Linked DNA regions of Xenopus tropicalis. The protein of the gene in region 1 interacts with the protein of each later gene in a pairwise test. Links are inferred from orthologs where the notes say so. Each region holds a gene or a part of one and is shown on either strand. Other genes may lie near its edges.

Region 1 (4,229 bases):
AACTGGGAATTCTATATGTACATTTGAAATGAGTATGTGGAAATGAAAACTAAAGATCAGATTTATTTGCTTTGGAAAAATGTACCCCAGCAACCTAAAAGCTGCTAAAATACCAAACTGGAGAGCTAAATAGCTAAATATCTCAGAATATCCCCTATATCAGGGATCCCCAACCTTTCTTACTCGTGAGCCACAGTCAAATGTAAAAAGACTTGGGGAGCAAGCACCATAAAAGTTCATGGAGGAGCCAAATAAGGGCTGTGATTGGCTATTAGGGGCCTCTATGCACCCTATCAGCTTGCAGGGGGCTTTATTTGGTAGGAAATCTTGTTTTTATTCAACCAAAACTTGCCCCCAAGTCAGGAATTCAAAAATAACTCCCTGGTTTGGGGGCACTGAGAGCAACATCCAAGGGGTTGGGGAGCAACATGTTGCCCCTGAGCCACTGGTTGGGGATCACTGCCCTATATCATGCTAAAGGTTTATTTAAAGGTAAACTACACCTTTGACTCACTATAGGATATTTAGATATGAACAAATGAGAGGTAAAACAATGAAGCACATTGGGGGAAATGGTAGAAAACCTTACAGTCCACGTTACTGAACAATTAATGGCAGAAAGAAAAACATATTAAGACATCATGAGTTTATTAATACAGATATGGGGGCCTGTTATCCAGAATGCTCAGGACCTGGGAAACTCCGAATAAAGGGTCTTTTGGTAATTTGTATCCCATTACCTAAAAAGAATAATTTAAACATTAATTAAACCCAATATTATTGTTTTGCCTCCAATAAAGATTTATTATATCTTAGTTGGGATCAAGTAAAGGTACTGTTTTATTATTACAGAGAAAAGGGAATCATTTAACCCTTAAATAAACCCAATAGGGCTGTTCTGCCCCCAATAAGGGGTAATTATATCTTAGTTGGGATCAAGTACAGGTACTGTTTTATTATTACAGAGAAAAGGGAATCATTTAACCATTAAATAAACCCAATAGGGCTGTTCTGCCCCAATAAAGGGTAATTATATCTTAGTTGGGATCAAGTACAGGTACTGTTTTATTATTACAGAGAAAAGGGAATCATTTAACCATTAAATAAACCCAATAGGGCTGTTCTGCCCCCAATAAGGGGTAATTATATCTTAGTTGGGATCAAGTACAGGTACTGGTTTATTATTACAGAGAAAAGGGAATCATTTAACCATGAAATAAACCCAATAGGGCTGTTCTGCCCCCAATAAGGGGTAATTATATCTTAGTTGGGATCAAGTACAGGTACTGTTTTATTATTACAGAGAAAAGGGGATCATTTAACCATTAAATAAACCCAATAGGGCTGTTCTGCCCCCAATAAGGGGTAATTATATCTTAGTTGGGATCAAGTACAGGTACTGTTTTATTATTACAGAAAAAAGGGAATCATTTTAAAAACTGGAGTTATTTGATTAAAATGGAGACTATGGGAGATGGCCTTCCTGTAATTTGGAGCTTTCTGGATAACGGATCCCATACCTGTATTCTCTTCCTGGCTTGCCTTTAGTTTTACTTCTTAGTGGTGCTGAAAAAAATCTACTATTGTCCTTGCTTACATATGAACACTGCAATAGGGAAGATATTAAAAAAGGAAAAGGTTTTGGGTAGGGGGACCCCCCCGAATCCACCTTTTTATGTTATCGAACCTAATTAAAAGTCAGTATATCAACTAAAAGACAAAAATAACGGGGGATGGGGGGGGGAGTAATTGAAATTCTGCCAGAATACAATGAGTACAGCTCTGATAACTGTCAATGACAGGTCAGTCCTGTGGCAGTTAACTAAAGGCTATCAATGTGTGTATGTGTGTGTGTGTATATATATATATATATATAGACATATCTATAGTATGTGCTGGAACTTACAGTCCCCATAGCAGAACGCTGACAGCCTAATTAACCCTTTCGCTGTCAAGTGGTACAGCAAGCAAAGAATGTACCTGCACAATGTCACTACTATATATATATAAATACTAAATATAAATACTATATATATATATAAATACTATATATATATATATATATATATATATAAATACTAAATATAAATACTATATATATAAATACTAAATATAAATACTATATATATATATAAATACTATATATATATAAATACTAAATATAAATACTATATATATAAATACTAAATATAAATACTATATATATAAATACTATATATAAATACTAAATATAAATACTATATATATAAATACTAAATATAAATACTATATATATATAAATACTATATATATATATATATATATAAATACTAAATATATATATATATATAAATACTAAATATAAATACTATATATAAATACTAAATATAAATACTATATATATAAATACTAAATATAAATACTATATATATATATAAATACTATAGGAAGTCCCTAGGGGCTCCTGGGAAGCAGTGCTAACAAGGGCAGGCCTACTCAGCACCAGTGGGGGCTTTACATATAAATATAAAGCGGTCTCCTCTCCAGGGTGCAGTTCCGGGTCCCACTAAGCACCCACAGCCCTGTCCCACCAGCACTAACTCGTCAGGGAGCTCTTCTATCCGCCTTCTTTTCTTCTCCCTATAAAGAGAGAGAGAGAATAAAAGAAGGGTATTTAGGGCCACCCTCCTGGCCTGTCACACAGAGAGGGGGAGAGAGAAGAGGGGAGAGAGACGGTCCCCAGGCTACTGGTGACACAACACAGATACTCACGGCTCTTCAGCATCCGCCATATTCGTCCCAGCCTCTCTCCTCCCACAATGCACCGGGACAGAACGGGTGGGCGGGGCCGAGCGCCGGCGGAGCCATAAAGGCTGCTGTTGCTAAGGGCATCCTTCTGTGTTAGTCATGTGACTGCGGGCTGCCGGGGCCCAGTCAGAGCCGAATGTGGCGGCTTCATGGTGTGAACTGGTCTCCCTGTGTCAGTGTATGTGGGCTCTGGCTTTGGGGGGCACTGTGTATGGGGCTCTAGCCAGCACAACGTTAGGTGGTCGTGTGTATTGGGGGCACTGTTTTTGGGGGGCACTGTGTATGGGGCCCTGGCCAGCATAGATTTAGGGATGCACTGTCCATTGTGCCTGAGTCTGAGCTTTCAGCCCTCCCATGTAACTGGAGGAGTCCCAAGCCGGACTTGGATTTCTTACTATTGAGTGCTATTCTGATACCTACTGGGAGCTGCTATCTTGCTCCCTTCCCATTGTTCTGCTGATCGGCTGCTGGGGGTGAGGGGGGGGGATATCACTCCAACTTGCAGCGCAGCAGTAAAGTGTGCCTGAGTTGGAGCTTTCAGCCAGCGCTACACATTAGAACTGCTTTCAGCTAACCTATTGTTTCTCCTACTCCCATGTAACTGGAGGAGTCCCAAGCCAGACTTGGATTTCTTACTATTGAGTGCTATTCTGATACCTACTGGGAGCTGCTATCTTGCTCCCTTCCCATTGTTCTGCTGATCGGCTGCTGGGGGTGAGGGGGGGGATATCACTCCAACTTGCAGCGCAGCAGTAAAGTGTGCCTGAGTCTGAGCTTTCAGAAGGAGCCAGCGCTACACATTGGAACTGCTTTCAGCTAACCTATATTTATTAATGGGGTTGTTCACCTTTAAGTTAACATTTCTGGGCTTATTTATCAATTTTCAAGTTTGTGAATTTGTTTTTCTAAAACTTGCATATCACCTTGGCGCTTATTTATTAATAAGGAAAACTCGTTTGAATAAAATCGAATATCTCCAATTTTTTGAGTTTATGAGCTCGAAAAACTGGAGTCTGAGAATACAGTTTGACTTTGCCTATAGCAACTCCCATTGACTTCTATAGAAACTCCATTTTATTCAAACACTCTCCTATTCATATTCCAGTCTCTCATTCAAATCAGTGCCTGGTTGCTATGGTAATTTGAACCCTAGCAACCAGATGCTGAAACTCCAGCCTGGAGAGCTGCTACGCATAAAAATAAATAATTCAAAAACTATAAATAATAAAAAAAGGAAGACCAATTGCAAACTGTCTTAGAATACCATTCTCTAAATCATACTAAAAGACACTATTTATTTTTTTCCCAGATATAACCCACAAGGACTGTCTAGATGACATATTCAGAACTGTTGCTGTTAGACAGTTAAACTTGTTTGGTACATAGAAAGGCTCCTTTTTATATTGGGCATTAAAGCTGGCCATACACACACCAATAATATA
Region 2 (4,178 bases), about 91 Mb from region 1:
TTTCACAAAACGGGTGCGAAAATGTGTAATTTTCCACGTTTGGCTCATTTTTTGCTGTTTCACGAATCCTTTTAAAGTTTCTCAAATTTTTCAGCAAAGCTAAACAGGACAGATTCGCTCAGACTACAGTACCAACTTGTCAATGTGTACTTCTCCCAATTGGATTTTTAAACCTGCTACCCAATTTTTGCCAAGATATTAGTGGTGCAGGTAGCCAGAGTACCCCATTCACAGACCAAACAGTTGCTGACTCACTGTGTGTGAATCTGCAACATTTACTGGCTAGCTGTAGGCAGGTTTTGCTTGGACAAAAGGTTAAACTAAATGGACTTGTGTCTTTTTTTAACATCTGCTATTTAATTATAGCTTTCTAACTACAATACCTAAACAATATTGATTCAGGATTTGGTGGGGGAGTGATTCAGTATTGTAAAACACAAGATTTGTTCCCTTGAACTTTAAACTGGTGATTTTACACATGCCTTTATATTTCCAAGGGTTCATCCCTGGTAAACTGCTGCCCAAGGAAAGGTTCTTGCAGGTTGTGCTTTACCAGTGATAATCAAGAGCAGTGACTGCAGGCAATTCCCACTATAACTGACTTTGATCACAGCAAAAGCTGCAGTAGGCTAAACTCTTTGTTGGCTTTATGCTTCCCTGGGGTATCTTGCCATAGCCATTAGCCATATAATAATCTAGTGTAACAGCACACCTTTTCTGAGTTAGGAATTTGGTGATTATTAAAGGGATGCAAACCCAAAAATAATGTTTGCCTAATGAAAGTTCATAATTCTAAGCAACTTTCAAATATATATGAACCAAGGGTGGCACGCGGCTACATCACTTGCCTGGGGTGCACAGAAAAAGATCTAAATACTGCAAAAAAGACCAGCAACATGAAGATATTTTGTAAACAATCAAAAAGTGTATTTAAAATAGCATGCACAGGCAATGTTCATGGGGAGCTTCTCAAGGCATATATGACTGTTCTTCTGCCCTGGCAGTTATAAATATGAGAGGACCTGAATTAAATCATACATAATAAAAACTAATTGGAATGATATGTTTGGATACCTGGGATGGAGAGAAGTACAGACAAAGGAGGGTAACAGGAGTATGCAGGTGAGTGAGGGATGAAAAGGAGCCAAGCTTGACAAGGGGAGCAGAATAAAAATGTACATGTTGGTGGGCAGAACTAGGAAAAATGGGGCACATGCATTGGAGATAAGTGATGAGCAAAAGCAGGTAGATCAGTGCAAGTATCACCTGCAGGAGGGAAAGGGTAGAGCTTGAGGTAGGAATATAACAGGCAATAGAGTAGATAAAGCGGCTGGAAAGGGAAGGTTGAGGGTGCTGCTAGAGGTAGGAAAGGGATCCAATTAAGACGTGCACATAGTAAGCCATAGGATATCGAGTTGATCCTGAGGATGAAGTGGTACCAAGAAGAAAGAGCGAGATGAGGAAGCGCCAGAGCAAAGTAGGAAGGAGTCACAGAGAAGTGACAGCGCAAACAGGGCAGTTGGCGCCACTTCGGGTTATGAGCAAATAAACGCTTTCCTATTCCCACCCAGAAGGGAGGAGACAGCTGCTCAGGCTACGCGGGACAGGGGCAGAGAGACAGTCCAGAGAGACTGCAGGATAACGCCCACGGCAGCCCGGAGATATCGCTGAGCGCACAAGTAGCTGCCGAGGAGAAAGAAGGATCTGCGATCCTGGTGTGTGGAGCCCGGGGCGGTGTCGCACATGGCAGCACTCGGGGAAGCACTGTGATATCGAGCGGTGAGTAGTGGCTACTAGGCTTTGCGCTGTGCCCTAACCTGGCTCTCACACCCTACAGAATCGTGCTTTGTACGTATCGTCAGCTCACTACTCGGATCTGTGTGCTGCTCCCTAAGTGGGGGTGTTGGTACATACTCAGCTGCATGTACACTGTGCGATACCGAGCTTCTGTCGCTGTGGAACTGCACTCTGCGCACACTGCGCTCTACTCACTGCTTTTAGCGAGCGAGGGCTATGTTGTACTTTAAGCGATAAGTGACCTGAAGGGGTTAGAGCTGCTACTTCTTGTGTATTTATAACCAAATCACCGGGGTGTTAATGGCCAAGGCAAAGTCTCCATAGAAAGTGTCCGTGCGACTTTTCCCAGTGACGCATATGTGGGAGATGACACGGTCTGACGCACCGGTATTCTGGTGTTTAACCAAAGGCTGCCCGGTCGTTCTCATCTTATAGACTTTAATGTAGTTTCCGTTTCCCTTGCCTCTTCTTCCCCCGGGCATTTCGCTTTGTGTGCAGCACGGATACCCGCTCTAGGCTGCGGCCCCGCCGGTCCTGCTGGACTAATCCATCCTTTGGGTTTGTGGAGCTCTAATGAGCAACAGTTGGAAGGCTACAACTTGAAAATCAGGCAAGTACCTAAAAACAGTGCAGTGTGCCAAGCTCAGTACCCGGGGAGATTGGCAAACTGCTGAGATCTTGGAAGGACTCCATCTTATATATGAACTTTTGCCCAAAACGTGTTTTTAGCACAAGCTGTCAGTATCATCTGAAGTGTAGAGGGAAAGTGACAACTAGTTAGCATCTATGTCTGAATCTCTTTTATTTCTGTGGTGTGGTGTTTATTAACCAAATCACAAGAGAAAGAAATGTGGGTTGTGACACACAATGTCATATGTTGATACACTGTAGATTCTATAATCAATGGTCTCTTGTTTTTTTGTGGAAAAGCAGCCATTTCAATAGGTAATTTCTGAACTATATTTAACAGAATTAAATGGCATATAATATTGTCATAATTCCTCCTCTGTGTGTCACTTCTTGTATCCCCAGCCCCAGTGGCTGCTCTTTATTATATAATTCTACTTCCTTTTATCTGTTAATGGTACAGATTAATATCGCCTATCAAACAACTTTGTATTGCTGTTCCAGACCAGAAAGTCAGGCATATTGTGGCTTCATCTATTAAAGGAACAGTAACACTAAAAAATAAAAATGTTTTAAAATAATTAAAATATAATGTACTGTTGCCCTGCACTGGTTAAAGTTGCGTGTTTGCTTCAGAAAGACTACTATAGTTAATAGAAATAGCTGCTGTGTAGCCATGGGGGCAGCCATTTAAACTGAAAAAAGGAGAAAAGGCACAGGTTACATAAGAAGATAACAGATAACTGTGTAGAATACAATGGGAATCTGCTACTTATCTGTTATCTGCTTAGTAACCTGTGCCTTTTCTCCTTTTTTCAATTTAAATGGCTGCCCCCATGGCTACACAGCAGGGTATTTATATAAACTGTAGTAGTGTTTATGAAGCAAACACACAACTTTTACCAGTGCAGAGCAATAGTATATAATATATTAATTATTTTTATACACTTTCATTTTTTGGTGTTACTGTTCCTTTAAGTTAAACAGCAAGAGAAATTTATTTAGCTCTAAATGAAAATATTTTGGGTAATATTTTAAAGGCCAGCTTTGTTTTAAGTAGGATTTACTGTCAATGCATATATCCTATTTATAAATAGGTTTATCATCTTTTATCCAGTAAAAGCTGTGTTATCATGGTACCCCATCTTATTCATAAACAATATTTGAGACTATTATAAGAGAGAAATTTACCTTAAGTTTGCCTATAAGAATGTTGTAATTGTAAGTTGCTTTAGCAGCTTTTTGGAGATTGTCTTTATATACTTTTTTAATGGTAAAATATACCCCATTTTTGACACGACCTTATTCACTTGGGCTGATGTAGACAAGATGCATAAACACTTTTCTGAACTTCCAGAAATAAATCTAAATTTAGTTTTTTACACAGACATGTCTGTCTCTGTTCTCAGATGGATTCTGGGACTTGAAGTTCCTCTGCTGTCCAGAGAATCAGTGCACCACCCACGATGAAAAGCAGAGGAAGTTAAGTCCCACAATCCCTCACTTCACAATGAAGGAAGCTAAGGGAGGTATTGCATTACAACCGTGAGCCTAAGGAATGCTGGGAAATGATTTATCATGGTTTACTTTCAACTTGTGAAATCAGGCATGTTTGTGTAAAAAAAAAAAATACTTATATTTTATTTTTTTTGGAAGTCCTGCGTTTAACAGGTGTTGTAACAATAAAGAAAGCAGATCCCACAATCGCGCCTGGACGTTGGGTCTGCTTCCTCTATTTTTGCTTATAAATCCCT

What was found.
Region 2: the proteins of uba3 (region 1) and cpne2 interact in binary tests that used the Homo sapiens proteins (3 or more experiments, as listed by UniProt). The two-hybrid records come from large-scale screens. The link is inferred for Xenopus tropicalis from reciprocal best matches to the Homo sapiens genes UBA3 and CPNE2.

The regions. Positions count from the first base shown.
Region 1 is NC_030680.2:141,975,759-141,979,987, reverse strand, and holds the start of uba3 (NEDD8-activating enzyme E1 catalytic subunit), read right to left. Parts: upstream 2,806-4,229; 5' UTR 2,772-2,805; coding exon 2,752-2,771; intron 2,620-2,751; coding exon of another isoform or gene 2,581-2,619; exon of another isoform or gene 2,498-2,580; intron 2,495-2,497; exon of another isoform or gene 2,476-2,494; intron 1-2,475. UniProt on the Homo sapiens protein: Catalytic subunit of the dimeric UBA3-NAE1 E1 enzyme. E1 activates NEDD8 by first adenylating its C-terminal glycine residue with ATP, thereafter linking this residue to the side chain of the catalytic cysteine, yielding a NEDD8-UBA3 thioester and free AMP.
Region 2 is NC_030680.2:51,390,044-51,394,221, reverse strand, and holds the start of cpne2 (copine-2), read left to right. Parts: upstream 1-1,372; 5' UTR 1,373-1,779; intron 1,780-4,178.